Linked DNA regions of Tamandua tetradactyla. The protein of the gene in region 1 binds, or shares a complex with, the protein of each later gene. Links are inferred from orthologs where the notes say so. Each region holds a gene or a part of one and is shown in the gene's direction. Other genes may lie near its edges.

Region 1 (7,419 bases):
AGCAGTACACTTAGAACAATCAACAGTGGGTATCTTAGTTAGCTTAACTGTAGGCATATTTAAATAAAGTATCCGTATAATCATTGTAAAGCCTTTGTTTGCACGTTAAGTTTCATAAAGCAATTTAAAATTAAGGCAACAGGAAAAAAATCTACATAGTCAGATAGCAGTTCTTAAATTCTTAGTAAACACTAACTTAGATACCATTTGATTAGCTGTCAAAACTGTGAATGTTCTCAAAATATCAAGTAGAAAGTTCTTACAAATATCTGTATTGCTATAGTAATGATCTGTTAATAAATATTTTCCAGATTTCAGGAAAATATGGAAGATACAAATATTTTTACAGTTAACATATGGAAATCTTAACCACCTAAAATGGATATCTAAGTTAGCTTATCCATAGGCATATTAAAAAAATATTTAAGTAATCATCATAAAGCCTCTTTATACACTATGTTTCATAAACCAATTTAAAATTAAGCAAGGAAGGAAAAAAATCTGTAAATACAGATATCAGTTACTTGAATTCTGAATATAAAACAGCATCTTAACTACCACTTGATTAACAAAACTGTGTGCATTCTCAAAATATCAAGTAAAAAGTTATTACAAATACCAACTTTGCCATAGTAGTGCATTATGTTACTAAGTATTTTTAAATTTTTGACTTCAGGAATTTATTTTACCTAATATTACTATAACGGCCTGTAGGTGTTTTTTTTTTTTTTAACCTTTTTTAGTTGTAAAATATAACATATATATGTATACACACACAAAGAAAGGAAAGGAAAAAAGCAATACTTTTTAAAGCACACTTCAGCAAGCAGCAATAGAACAGTTCCCAGAGTTTGCGTGGGCTACCATGCCCTCAACTCAGATTTTCCCTTCTAGCTGCTCTAAAACACTGGCAGCTTTATCAGAATCACAATAATGGAGTCATACAGCCATGGTTACTTTTTGACATATTCCTTTGAGAGATCAATTCAGTGACACCGACCACGTGCCTCCTTTGTACCAGGGTTGGGCATCTACATCCCCAGGCTCTTCCTGTTCCAGCCTTGGGGCCTTTGCACAGTCTCTTCTCTGTGTAGACCCCTCTTTCTTCCATTCTTTGCCTAGTTAACTCCTACTCACCTGTTAGGGAAGTACATCATAGGCTGTGTCAGGTTTGCTTCTTACAGGCTCTCATAAGGCCACATAGTTCATGTTGTCTGCCACATGTAGACAAAGTGTATGCTTGGCGTGGTTCTTTGATTAGTAAACCTGTATTTTATTCCTAAGTAGATACCCCCAGTTCCTAGATAAAGGCCTGGCACCTCATTGGGTTTCCAGTTAATATTAATTGAATTAATAGCAGAGCCCACAGCCTCAGGCCCTGCCCTTACTGATTTTAACAGTTCAGTGAGGGAGACACATGTCACTAGATAATGACAACCCAGAGTGGTCAAAGCTGGGATGGGGAAGCCCAGGGACAAGGAGAATTGTTGGAAACCCAGAGAAGGCAAGTCACCCTGCTTTGGTGGGAATGTAGGAAGGCTTCCTGAAGGAGGCGACATCTGACCTGAGGCCTAAATACTGAGTGAGTAAGCCAGGAAGTAAGGCTGGGGAAAGAGATTAAATATGTTCCAGGTAGAGAGATACACATGTGTCAAAGCCTGGAAGTGAAGGGAAGCCAAGCACATTTGGGGAGCTCTAGTATGATCACTGTGGCTGGAACATAAAGAGCCAAGGGAGATGGTAAGAGAGGCCAGATCAGTGGCTAGGGCCAGGTCATATGTCAGCTTAGGGAGCCTGGACTCTGTCCTGAGGTCACTGGGAAATTATTGGGGGAATTTAATTAGGGAAGTGGTATTATCAGAGCTGTGGTTTGGAATGAATCCTCTATGTTGTGTTGGGATGGATTGGGAGTAATAAGGATGGGGGCTAGGAGCACCATGCAGGCCATGGGATGGGGAGGGACCCTCAGGAAGCTGACTGGATAGGCCTCAGAACTTAAGACTTTTTGGTTACTTTTTAGGGAAGTGACCAAGATGAGGTCCAGCCTCTGACTGGGGACTGTGGGGTTGTCCCTGAGACTGAGCCCAGGAAGAGAAGCGGTTGGGGTGGGGTGGGAAATGCTGAGGCCAGTGTGAGATATGAAAGGTCAAGTGCCTGGGAAGCAGTTTCTTTGATTCTAACTGGCTTTACCATGGTCCTTCCCTTCCTGATCCAGTTACCCCTCCCCACCTCATTGCCATATACCACTGGTCTCAGGCCTGGAATAAGGCCCAGCCTTGCCCTTTCCTGCTGTTTGTCACCTTGGGAAAGTGATTTGACTTCTCAGCATGAGAAGCTTGTCTCTCCTGGAGTGTGGGTGTCAGCCCTGTGCACGACCCTGTGTTGGGAGCATTCCAGGCTGACCAGGTGGTTCCCACCCCCAGGGAGGCATGTGCTCTGTGTACCTGAAGGACAGTGAGAAGGTCGTTAGCATCTCTAGTGAGCACCTGGAGCCCATCACACCCACCAAGAACAACAAGGTAAGGGCATTGGGTGGGGAAAGAGGAACTGGAGGGCTGCAGATATGGGACCCTGACCCTATGCCCCCATCCCCAGGTGAAGGTGATCCTGGGTGAAGATCGGGAAGCCACAGGTGTCCTGCTGAGCATCGATGGTGAGGATGGTATTGTCCGCATGGACCTTGATGAGCAGCTGAAGATCCTCAACCTCCGCTTCCTGGGGAAGCTCCTGGAGGCCTAAGGCAGGCAGAGTCGTGGTTGTTGGCAGATACCTGGCAGGTGAAGAGTGTCCCTCCTTTCCTGGCCCTAGGCCTGGAGCAGGGCTAGACTGGTCATTCTAGATTTCCTTTATTTTCTCATGTCCTTCCTTTCTGGTGTTAAGTGGGAATCAGAGTAGAGTCTGGCAGAGGGTCCCCACCTTCCTTTATCTCCCTCACTGTCAGCTTGCTTTTTGTGTTATGTCTTTCAATAAAAAGAGCTGTTTGGTCAAAAGTCCTGTGTTTGTGTGTCTGGTTTGTAAGTGTGGTCATTTGCAACTCCACTCTTACTTCCTTGCTGTGTGGTCTTAGACAAATGATTTTGGGGCCTTCCTAAGCCTCAGTTTCCCCATCTGGAAAACGTTAGTGTCTACCCCAGAAGGCTGTTAGAAGGATGTATGAGAAAACATCCAGAAAGGGATTGTTAGATTCTGCCACATGATTGATGAAATTACATCTTACTCAGGCATGGGTTATCACAATATGCAAAAATCGCAGTCAGTATCCCCAGGAAACTTCCTTATTCCTCCAGTGCTGCAGGCTACAGCATATGATGATCCTTTCTCTCTTCAGCTCTGATAGCAGGAACACCAGATTGCTGTAGCTTGTTGATGACTGGGGGTGGAGTAGAGAGGCAGTATAGAAAATGGGGTTTAGTACCCTGAAACTCCTTCAGTTTCCTTATTTGATGTTCACATGTCTTTTAAAAAATGTATTACAGAACATTTCAGATGTTCATAAAGATACGTGAACACCCATGTCCCACCACCCAGTTTAAGAAACAATATGTGCCAGATAGGACTCTTTAGCAGTAACCCCAATCCATTCTCCTCCCCTCCAGAGGTGATCACAGTTTGGAGTTCCACCTATCTTTCTTTTGTCTCACTTACACATTTGCTACTTTATTTTATACCCTTAAATGTTCTATGGTAACTTTATAAAGTTTGGTATCAAACCTTTTTTTTACTCAATAATTTGAGGAAGATTCGTGTGGGGCTACTGTAGCCTGTTTCACTGATGATTCCAACTTCTCTCAATAACCCTGACCCAGCCACACAGATCACTGCTCCTGTGGCTGAGCCCCAGATGAAATAAATGGATGGCTCTGAAAATTTCAGACACGTTACAAGAAACTCACGGCAGTAAGGCAAGAGGGGCCCTGCGAACAATAGAGGATAAGATTCCTGTCTCCCAGTTCCATGTGAGGGAAGGAGTCTGAAACACTGGCTGCTTATCCCACTTTCTAGTCCTTAGTTTTCTATTTCTGACTATCGGGAGGTGAAGGCAAATCACAAATGGCGAGATGAACAACGAGACTCGGATATGGATAACCTTGGCCGATGGCTTCTTACGGCATCAACTTTACCTGTGAGTAATAGGTGTGTTCCCTGTCCCCGCCAGGTCCTTTTGCTGGGGCGGCGGAATGCCCTACCGCCCGAGGGGGACTCAGCGCCCGGGTGACCTTGTATCTTAGTTGGCGCGCCCGGGTGCAGCCACCAAAATGCCCAGAGGTGAGTCGCCTCCGGCAGTTCGCCCGCAACCCTTTGGCTCTCTCGGGCTCCCGTCCACCTGCCCCTCCCCTGCGCACTCATTGGCCACGATCCCGACACGGGGCGGGTGGAAAGGGAGTGAGTGGGTGGGACCGCGTGACGTCAGCGCAAGATGGCGGCCTCGACGGCCCTGTTCTCTCGTTCGTGGAGCTGTCTCCGGCAAGGCGCGCGGGGTCTGTGCACGAGGCTGGCGACGCCGCCTCCCAGGGCCCCGGACCAGGTGAGTGGGATGAGGGTGGCGCCCCGCGTGCGGGCGCCCTTCTCCGGGACTCCGGACGGAATGCCGCTGCCCGGGGCTTCTGGAATGCTGCCGTTGCCGCTGGCATTCTGGAGCGCTTCCCTACCTCCCGGGGAGGACAGCGCTTGTTCTCTCGGTCGGGATGTTGGGGCCCTAGTGCGTCGTCAGGACCCCCACCTCCCACCCACGTGAGCGCCGGAGGAGGGGGTCGGCTGTTCCCCATCTCTGAGTGCGTTCAGGTAACGCTTGAGGGGAAGGGACCCGTGACGCTAGGGTCTCAGGCCGGCTTTGGGGGTGATTATTTTCTCCCCGTTGGTGTTGGAGAGGGGCGATAGCAGTTCGGGCTCCCGATTCGACTTGCTTCTATATCGACAGAGAGCCGGCCATTCTGACCTCCAGGCCTGTAACTTCTGTGCCCTACTACTTCTAAGCCCGAGGCAAGCGGATTGCCCTGTTTCTAATCTTTTATCCATATCTTCCCTGTCTCCCATCCCATCTCCTCTATGTCCTGGTACCACAAGCACCAGGCTTCCCAAAGTCATACTTGCTGTCACATTCCCTGTGTGCCCTCCATCCCATTTTTCCAGCTCCCTGATGTGTTTTCTTCCGTGCTCCGGATTTTGGTGGTCTACATCCTCCAGTGCTGTCGTCTCCAGGACCCTGTGTACCGGGCCTGCCCTCTCTTGAACTCCTGGGATCCAGACTCCTGACAGCCTAGTTCTTGATCCTCCTGGCCCCTCCCAACTGCTTCTCAAGCAATAGGCTGCTCAGGGGCTATGAAGCATGTGTCTGCTTCCTGGCTCCCCACCCTGATTCTTTTCAGGGACATGGGTGCCCCAACCACCCCGGCCTTATTCCTCTTCTCTCATCATCTTTCTGCTCCCTCTCACTGCAGGTCGTGGAGATTGGCAGTCGTGGGAATACCCAGGCTCAGGGGCCACAGCAGCAGCAAGGCTCAGAGGGTCCCAGCTATGCCAAGAAAGTCGCTCTCTGGCTTGCTGGACTTCTTGGAGCTGGTGGGACTGTGAGCGTGGTCTATATTTTCGGTGAGAGACACACCTGTGTCCCCCAGTTTTGTCTTGTTGGCTTCCCATTCCACCTCCTAATTGCCCCCCTTACCCCTCAAGAGTTTCACTGTCTTTCATTGGCTCCTTCTTCAGTAAGACAGGCAACTAGGATACCTACCTTGAAATGAAGAAGTCTCCTTCTTTCTAACTCCTGTACTCAAGTTTCTACTTCTAGTTGGTTTCTTCAGCAAGTTGTAGGGTACCAGTCAGAAGAGGGGAAGATAGGGAAGGATAGATATTGACCAGCCTACTAAGCCTCTTCCCTCAGGACTAGCCCTTCCCTTTGCTCCTTCTTCCTCAGAGAGCCAGGAATCCAGGTTCCCAGCCCCCTCCTCTCATGAACCCAGGAGATTATGCTTCTTGTCCTCTTCCCTCAGACCCAGGAGTCCAAGCTCCCAGTCCTCTTCTCAAAACCCAGAAATCCAGGCCCCCTTCCCACTCCTCCCTCAGGACCTAGGAGTCCAGGCCCCAATTCCTCTCATTCGCCCTGTTTGCCTTGCAGGAAACAACTCCGTGGATGAAACTGGTGCCAAGGTGAGGGGGGAAGAGTCACAGATGTCCTACCTGGAGCCCCTTAGGTGTGAGGGTGGTCCTCTTTGGTCTGGTCAGGTTCATTTCTTATTTGGGGTAAGCCTTTTCTCCCCAGAGACTTTTGCCTATTCCTCTCAGAGGCCTGGAGGTTTCTTTCCTGGGTGTGATGTTGTGTCTTCGCCATTCCAACCTCCGCATTTTTCTTTCTACCTTCCAGATTCCCGATGAATTTGACAATGGTGAGGAAACAAGACTCTGGGGTCCCCTGACCCTCCCAACTCTGTTGTTTGCTGTGATGTAACCCTCCATGTGGTGCCCCCCACCAGCCCCTCCTCCTTTCATTAGGGGTGGGGGAGTCAGCAGCTGGATGGTTTGTGGGGAGGGGCATTACAAAGCCCTTGTCCCCTGACCTGGCCCCTTAGTCCAGGAGCAGATGGTGAGGGACAGAGGGGGAGGGGATGTGGGGGGTTCAGGGCAGCCAGACACATGGTTTCCTGTGCCTTAGCTGAGCATCTGCAGTCCCTAGCCAGCTCCTCTTTTAGGATAGCCTCTTCTTTTTCTTGCAGTCCCCTACCCTTCGGCTCCTCATTTCCAAAATAGTACCTCCTTCCTCCTTCCCCTTCTGGTTAACCAGTTTTTGGTGGGAATTTCTGACAGAGAAACTGGATAGTAGAGAGTAGTTGTCAATTCCTATTACACCTGGTCCTTCCTAGAAGAAGAATAAAATTGGTAGGTCCAGAAAGCTGCCTGTGTGTGCTGGGGATGTTTGTAAACTGACATGTTGATATATTGATTGTTTTTAGAGTGGGCAGGGGGTAAATATACAAAATTGCTTCTGGTTGAGAATGGGTTTAAAGTATGTAGATCTGTGTATATGTTCATTCTGGTTTAACTAGTTGTGGTATATTGGCTTAAAGTTGCTAGATCTGGGAGCATGGTGGTTCAGAATGGACAGGTATATGTATATTGGTCTTAAGTGAGCAAATACGCATTCTGTTTTATACTTGGGATAGCATGTGGTGTAAATAATCAGGTTAAAATTGGGCAAGTGAATAAATATAATTCTACCTGGCAGTCATGTCATTGTATTGCCATCTGCCTTTGGACCTAGAAACGGGCTGTTTCAAACCAGGTAGGCAGATAGACAGGTTTGTATCTGGTAGATAAATAAACCCCTCATTTGTCCGGGAGATTAAACAGGGCTCATCTCAGAATTCCTTTGCGCCCTGGTGTTCTCCTAGATCCAGTCCTGGTACAGCAGTTGCGCCGGACTTATAA
Region 2 (7,233 bases), on another chromosome or scaffold:
AATGCCAAATAAAGACGTTGTATTTATTTAGTCCACGTGCAGCTTCCTGACCCGGGGGACCCGCGCTCTCTGCATAGGCACTATTACTAACCCCAGGGGTGCCAGCACCACCTCTGTTGCCCTCGCTTGCTCAGGAAACCCACCTGCCAGCCCACCCCAGCTTTCTGTGTTTCTTTTTCCTTCCCGTTCCCACCACAGGTTGCTCAGCAAGGTGAAGGGTTCGTAGCTGCTGGGATTGAAGACGTTGGCCTGGCCTCGTTCTCCCTTCTTGCCCTGGTCCAGCTGGGACCAAACTGATCAGTATTGGGGGTGGGGTGAGATAGACATCGAACTCCCCTTCCTCACCACCCTTCGCTTCCACGTAGGGCTGACACGACTAACTTTTCTTTGATATTGAGGGCATGGACAGGACCCACCTCAGCCTCCAGCCCCTGCCACCCCCATGCTCTTTCTTAGGTGAGTTTTTGCAAATAAAATGTGTTCTCCATTTTGCTGGCTTGGGTTGAGAAACCTCAAAACAGAGAGAGAGAGAGAGAAAGAGAGAGAGGGAAGGAAGCACTCAGGTCTCACGGGCATGATCAACAGAAGCTTTTATTAAAAATCCCAGGGCTGGGGCTGGGAGGGTGAAGCTTCAGTCTTGCTGCTTGGTTCGGGAGGCCTCAGCGTTGGCCCGGAGCACAGCCCCTGGGGATGGGTATGGGCGCTGCTGGAAGAGGGGCCCGGCTGCTGTTGTGTCTGCACCCGTCTTGGCCTCGTTCCGCTTGGGGAGCCCTGTTGACCATGTGCCCCTGGGGGTGATACAGGGTCAGGGGTGGGAATGTGGGATGCAATGGGTAACTCCTGTGCCCTGATTAACGAATAAGGGGAAGGTGAGAGCAGCGGGGGAAGGGATGATATCTGCTCAGGCAGTGAGTCACGAGGGAAAAGAAGGACTTTGAGAGGCTGTCACTTACCGGGGTGCGTCTGAGTACGAGCTGGGGTCCATGGGGTCTAACTCTTCATCCTTTCGGCTTGCCACTGCAGAAGTGGTACAGTGAGACCAATCCAGGCACAAGGAACCCTGATCGTTGAACCCTCCCAACCCAGGAAGAAATGGCACACCATGGGGCCGCAGCACCTTTTCCCTAGGGCCTCAGCTTCAGGCACTTGCATGAGTGAGGGCCCCCTTAAATTCTGCACCCCAGGTGCTTTGTTTGCCTCACGCTAGTCCCAGCCCTACTTGGCTTACCCTTTTTGCTTTTGGGGTATGGAGCTAGCTCCTCACGGCGATGGTGGCGACGTTCTTTGCCCTCTTCTCGGTCTGCCTTATCATACCCGCGTTCCCGATCCCGATCCCTGTCCCGCTCTCTCTCTCTATCCACTTTGTCATAGCCACGTTCTCGGTCTCTATCGGACTTGTCGTGGCCCCGGTCAGGCTTGTCGTGGCCCCGGTCCGATTTGTCATGGCCTCGGTCCGACTTGTCATGGCTCCGGTCCAACTTCTCCTCAGCATCTGGGGACAGCAGGGTCTGTCTTATTCCATCTGCTCCTACTAGATCCACTATCACTGACCTGACCCTTCTTTGACAATTGCTAAAATCACTTGAGGCACTCCTGGATCTGCCAACTCACCTGCATTACTGCTCCTGAGCTTCTTGGCAGATTTGGTCACGACGGAATTGGGGTCATGTGGGGAGAGCCAGGACACGAGGTCTGTGTCCACATTCCAGTAGTAAGGGAGCCCACTGTGGGGCAATGGGAGGGAGGGAAGGAGTGTCAGCAAAGATCCTCAACTCCTGTCTCCCCAATCTCTGCCTAGACCTGCCCCATAGGGAGGACCCCCCAAATCTCCCATATCTCCCATATACCCCAATGCCCAGGATAGCCCAGGAAGGGTGAAGTTGGAGGTCATTTCCCCTCCCTGCCAGGTCCCCAGGCTCACCAGGAAGGGTCAAACACCTTGTACCAGCTTGGTGGCAGGCCCTCCAAGCGGGTGGCCTCATAGTCTACAGGATCATCATCATAGTCCTCAGCAATGATTTCTTCCTCTGGCTCTGGCAGGACAAGGGGGAGGAGGGCAGTGGTTAAGGACCAGGGCAATTCTCATCATACAGTCAGGGCCTACAAAGACTCACAGACCCTTGTTCACACCCCTGGCCAATCATGAACCACACCTGGTAGATACATGCATGTGTGGATGTACACAAAGTATCTTGTGTATTCCAAACCCAAATACCTGAATACCAGGGGATTTACCAAAACAAACTAACAAAACTTAACCCAAATCTATTCCATTCCCATGTTCAGATAATGACATAGCAATGTGTTAGCCAAATGTATATAGATAAAATATAAACAGCAAGGGATTTATCTGAAAAAATGTGTCCATTCAGCTGCCAAACTTAATATGGGGTTTTTGAGTCCTGTGTATTAAGTATGCCAGGATAGCAAAGGGATTTATCCAAATATTGCTCCAAATCCACTTGGCTCCTAAGTGGCAAGGTGAAAATGTACTGGCACATAGTAGGCTTGTAAGAGATGTCAGTTAATATTTATAGAATTTTTTAAAAAAGGTATGTTTTATCAGCTGTGTGCCTGGCTCTCGGTCAGCTCAGAACAGATTTCAGCTATGGACATAAAACTATGGACATAACAATGAAACATACGTATGTCAGCAATAGCATATAGTGCCTGTGGTGCAGTAGGCCTCAAACAGATGTCTGCTACCATCATTAGAATTGTTAATAAGATGTATGTCATCAGCACAGGAGCTGGCACTCAGAAAGGCTTAAAAGTAAGATCCATGACCATTATCTGTATTAGTAACTATCAAGTCTGCCTGGCACGCTGCAAGCTTGTAACAGGCAGCTGAAATCAATAAAGGTGAACAATAAGATGTATTTTTTCAGTGCCTGACATACTGTAGCCCAAAGTAAATGCCAACCTTTAGCATAAACAATAAAGTGTAAATATTAGCAGCAGCACAGAAGGCCTAAATAATAGCTCCTCACTGTCATTATTTTATACTCTCAACCCTAATGTGTTTGCCAGCAGGCACTTAGTAGGCCCAAAATACATGTCAGTTCTCAATGAGGTGAATAAAGTATATACATCACCAGCAGAGTGCCTTCCCCTACAGCAGGCCTGAAATACTATCTATCAGTCTGGTAAACAACAAAGTATCAAGGTCAACGCCCTGCTGTGCCTGGCATACAGAAGCCTGCACTAGATGTCAGCCGTCCTTGTTATTAGACAGTACTTACCACCCTATGGAACCTGGCATATAGCAGGCACTAGAGAGCTATCAGCTGTCAGAACTGTTAAGGATTGCAACATCTATCTGCCCCAGTGCTCGGCAAACATAGGAATGGATGTCAGGAATCCATGTTAATGAGATGCCCCAGCTCCTGGCTCCTAGCTGCTTAGCGCACAGAAGTCCCAAGCTTGGTGTTAAGTGTCAAGCCTCAACAACAAAGTGCTTGTCAAACCCGGCACAAAGAAAGCCCATTTGCGCTTAGCTCTCTTACCCGGCTCCAGATGTTTGAGAATGCCTCTCTTGGCCAGGCGGGTCTGCAGCGCCACGGGTAGCGGCATGGCAAGTAGCACAGACCTAGGGACGACCAACAGACTGAAAACCAGCTCGATGATTCCGGATCCTGTAACCAAGCGCCTCCCTCCAGCATGGACTCATCTTGATCCCTACCTCCCGACTGGCACCAGAAACTGGGCGGGCGGAACCTACGCGCCAAAAGATGGAGGAGATAGGTGGCCACGGTCAGCCAAGCGGACACCAGCACTCCTCTCGTGGCCGGGATTGCCATCGGGTCCTCCACCCCACCCCCGCATTCCTCTCGCAGGCTTTGCCCACCACCGAAGCAACCGGCGCAGTTTCCCCGCGCTGGAGAAATGGGCTCACCCAATATCCCTCAAAGCTTGCCAGGTGGGAGGAACCAAAGTGCTGGAACGGGGGAGCAGAATGCAGCACCTCCTCCGGCTCCAAAAGAATGCGTCCACCCCAGCGTTGCCGATACAGCCTCGGGGCTAGTGGAAGGCTGTCAGACAGGCTGCCTCTCTCTCCTCGTCGCCAGGATCACCGACACCACACTGCTCTCCCCTCAAAGCACAGAATGAAAGCCTTTCTCCCTGAACCTCGAGGTAACTGGGCGACGCTCGGAGGCGGGATGAACCCACGACACAAACCTGGCAGCCAATGAGCGCTCCCTGGGCCTGACGTCGAGGGAAGTGACCCGACCCTTGTCCGAGAATAGGTGAAGAGCTCGGACTCCTGTGTGCGTTGCCACTGGGGGCGTGGCCCGGCCGGACGCCGGCGCCATGGAGGAGTACGCTCGTGAGCCCTGGTACGGCGGTGGGCACAGGCCGCGGGATCGTTGTGGCGGCGCCCTGGCCGGCCGTGGGGGGCGGGCGGGGAAGACACCAGCCGCAAGGCGCCGCGTCCCAGATTCGGGAGCGTCTTGCAAAACTTACTTCCTTTCGCTCGCCCCACCACCCACCATCACCACCTGGGTGCCTCCCACCCAGGCTCGGTTAAGACGAGGCCCACTAACGGCGCTCCTGGAGGTGCGGCACTGGGCGAACCACTCCACCTCACCTCTGACTTTGTATCTCCCAGCCCTTCCTTGTTAACGACAAAGAGACACGCTGGTCGAATCCATTCCGGCAAGGGGTGGGGGGTTACGATGTTGAGCGGCGATCCCTAGGATTACCACGCGTGGTTTTTCCCAGGTCGCTTTGTTAATGGAGGGTGGGGCCTGGGTGATCATATTGTGGGCAAAGAGGGGAATGCTGGATCCTCCCCAGCGTCTGCTCTCGGTTTTTCCCACCGGTGCTCGGTTAAAAGGGAGGGCCGGACTTGATTGGCTGTAGCCATTGTTGGAGAAGGGGTTGCAACCCCATTCTGCTTTAATAACTTATGTGGTGGTTAGGTAAAAGTGCTGTCTCTTTGCTAGTGTCAGCTCATCTAATCTTTGACAGCCATTCCCCAGTTGGCTGCGAAGGGCACGGGTCAGCAGGGCAAAGACTGCTACCCCCCCCCCACCTCTGCCTTATATCTCGCTTTAATGAGAGAAAAAGTGACAGAACTAGCTCACTATTATATGAAGTACTTCTTCCCGCTCATGAAGTTCCCATCCGGGTGCCTTGGTTCCTCCGATTTGGAAAGAGTTCGTCCATGTGACAGCGCACAGTGTAGGGTTCACCTTAATCCCTTCCCCTCCCCCCCCCTCCCGCTTGCAGCCCGTGGCGGATTGTGGATGATTGCGGCGGAGCCTTCACCATGGGTGTCATAGGCGGCGGAGTCTTCCAAGCCATCAAGGGCTTCCGCAATGCCCCCGTGGTGAGTCCTGGCCTTCTCCGGGTGGTGTGAGGGTTGGCTGCCCTATTCACAAGTGATACTATCCTGCAAACCTCTTAGAGCTGCCAGTCACATGCACTTATTCATTCTGTTGTGTGCTCATCAATTCTTGCTCCCGGATCTGGGGTCTTAGGGGGAATTGCAAACATGGCCCCTGCCCCCTCTCCAACTGGGACTCCTTCCTGGACATGCCATGCTGTCAAAACAGTCATCAACAAATCCTAAATGTGCCTGCACAGACAGACATATCTTATCTCCTACAGGCAGATTTCAGGTCTGAAATCTGCATAAAGGGAGGTGATAGGAGTTTGTCAGAGAGAGGGCAGCTTTAAAGTTGTAAAAAAATAATCCTTTTATAACAATCCTGTTTTCTTTCTCTGCCCATGCCCTTTCAGAAGCAGCTCTCATCAATTGTCATGACTTTAAATGCCATCAGTTTGCCCAGGTCTCTGATTTTCCTTTTTTCCTTTTTGCATGGGCAGGCATCGGGAATCAAACCTGGGTCTCTGGAATGGCAGGCAAGAACTCTGCCACTGTGCCACCATCACCCACCCTCTGTGATTTTTATAACTAGCCTTGTTTCTCCCGTCAACTCCAGATCCATATATCCAAATATCTACTTTACATCTAAACTCAAGAGGTCAAAATCAGAGCTCCTGCTTCTTTCCCAGAACTAATCTCATCAGTCTACCTCATCTCAGTATTCCCTCTTCCTTATAGTCTTTTAGTCCAATAACCTTCAGCCATTCTTGGCTCTTCTTTTTCCTTCACACCCCATCTTGCATCTGATGTATCAGCAAAACCTGTGTACTCAGCATCCAAGCACATATATCCCCAAGTCAACAACTCACCACTTGTACTGCCACTATCCTTGCCTGTACTGCCACTATCCTTGCCTGAGTCCCCCTGATTGCTGTAGTCTCCTCACTCATTTCCTTGTTTCTTCCTCTACCCCCTTGGAGACTCTTCTCAACACATCAGCCACGGGGGCCTTTAAAAAGGCAAATCCAATCCTTGTTCCTCCTTATAATTCAATAGCTTTCTGTTACACTTAAAATAAAACCCAAACTTCTTACCCTGCCTTACACAGTCTAACTGCCTACTTCCTATCTTCTACCACTCTTCTCCTTGCCCACTCTGCCCCACCCTTATTGGCCTCCTTATTTTTCCTCCAGCGCCCTGTGTCATGCCTGCTGCATGGCCCTGGCACTTGCTGTCACCTGAGACTTTAACTTCTCTTTCCTGTTTCGTTGCCCTAGACTCTCCTTCAGGTCTCAGCACAGATGCCCTTTCCTTAAAGAAGCCTTTCCTGCCAGTCAGCACTATTCTATCTCTTCATCCTGTTTCCTGCTTATTGCTGTCTGAAACCATCTGATCTGTCTGTATCCTTGTATCTTTAAGTTCTGTCTCTTATACTAACTAATATGTGAGTTCTAAGGGGTTAGGGACTGGGTCTGCTTCATTCACTGCTGTAGCTCTGCATATAGCCTGGCATATAGTAGGTGTTTAACAATCACTTATTGAATGAATGAATGAGAACTTCTCAAACCAGCTCTGAGTGTTCCCCAGACCCTAGTTCTTGACTGCTTCTCACAGCTCTGCCCCTCATACCCCTAATAGGTCTCCCATCTCCTTGGCCTCCCTTAAAAGCCAGAAAGCCTGTCTGCCAGCGGCCTCATCACTGTCCTGACACCCCTCCTCATTTTCCCCCAGGGAATTCAGCACCGCTTGAGAGGTAGTGCCAACGCTGTGAGGATCCGAGCTCCCCAGATTGGAGGTAAGGGGCATGGGGAGACAAAGAAGATGTGATAGTAATATCGGGGGGGGGGGGGGTGTTCCTTTAGGTCTAGACTGCACGTTGTGGGGTGGGTCCAGATTCCAAC

Evidence for each region. Proteins that work in one complex are often made in the same cells at the same time.
Region 2: TIMM50 (region 1) and TIMM17B share a complex: the UniProt entries of both Homo sapiens proteins name them as parts of the TIM23 complex. The link is inferred for Tamandua tetradactyla from reciprocal best matches to the Homo sapiens genes TIMM50 and TIMM17B.

What each region holds. Positions count from the first base shown.
Region 1 is NC_135342.1:24,503,430-24,510,848, reverse strand, and holds the start of TIMM50 (mitochondrial import inner membrane translocase subunit TIM50), read left to right. Parts: upstream 1-4,386; 5' UTR 4,387-4,417; coding exon 4,418-4,525; intron 4,526-4,618; exon of another isoform or gene 4,619-4,782; intron 4,783-4,918; exon of another isoform or gene 4,919-4,980; intron 4,981-5,438; coding exon 5,439-5,589; intron 5,590-6,112; coding exon 6,113-6,144; intron 6,145-6,358; coding exon 6,359-6,380; intron 6,381-7,382; coding exon 7,383-7,419. Other genes in the region: SUPT5H (transcription elongation factor SPT5), read left to right, coding at 2,424-2,519, 2,596-2,739. UniProt on the Homo sapiens protein: Essential component of the TIM23 complex, a complex that mediates the translocation of transit peptide-containing proteins across the mitochondrial inner membrane. Has some phosphatase activity in vitro; however such activity may not be relevant in vivo.
Region 2 is NC_135353.1:121,254,994-121,262,226, forward strand, and holds the start of TIMM17B (mitochondrial import inner membrane translocase subunit Tim17-B), read left to right. Parts: upstream 1-4,202; 5' UTR 4,203-4,311; coding exon 4,312-4,337; intron 4,338-4,442; exon of another isoform or gene 4,443-4,557; intron 4,558-5,232; coding exon 5,233-5,332; intron 5,333-7,063; coding exon 7,064-7,127; intron 7,128-7,233. Other genes in the region: SLC35A2 (UDP-galactose translocator), read left to right, coding at 199-226; PQBP1 (polyglutamine-binding protein 1), read right to left, coding at 632-788, 954-1,017, 1,229-1,492, 1,612-1,724, 1,922-2,033, 3,507-3,589, 3,722-3,825. UniProt on the Homo sapiens protein: Essential component of the TIM23 complex, a complex that mediates the translocation of transit peptide-containing proteins across the mitochondrial inner membrane.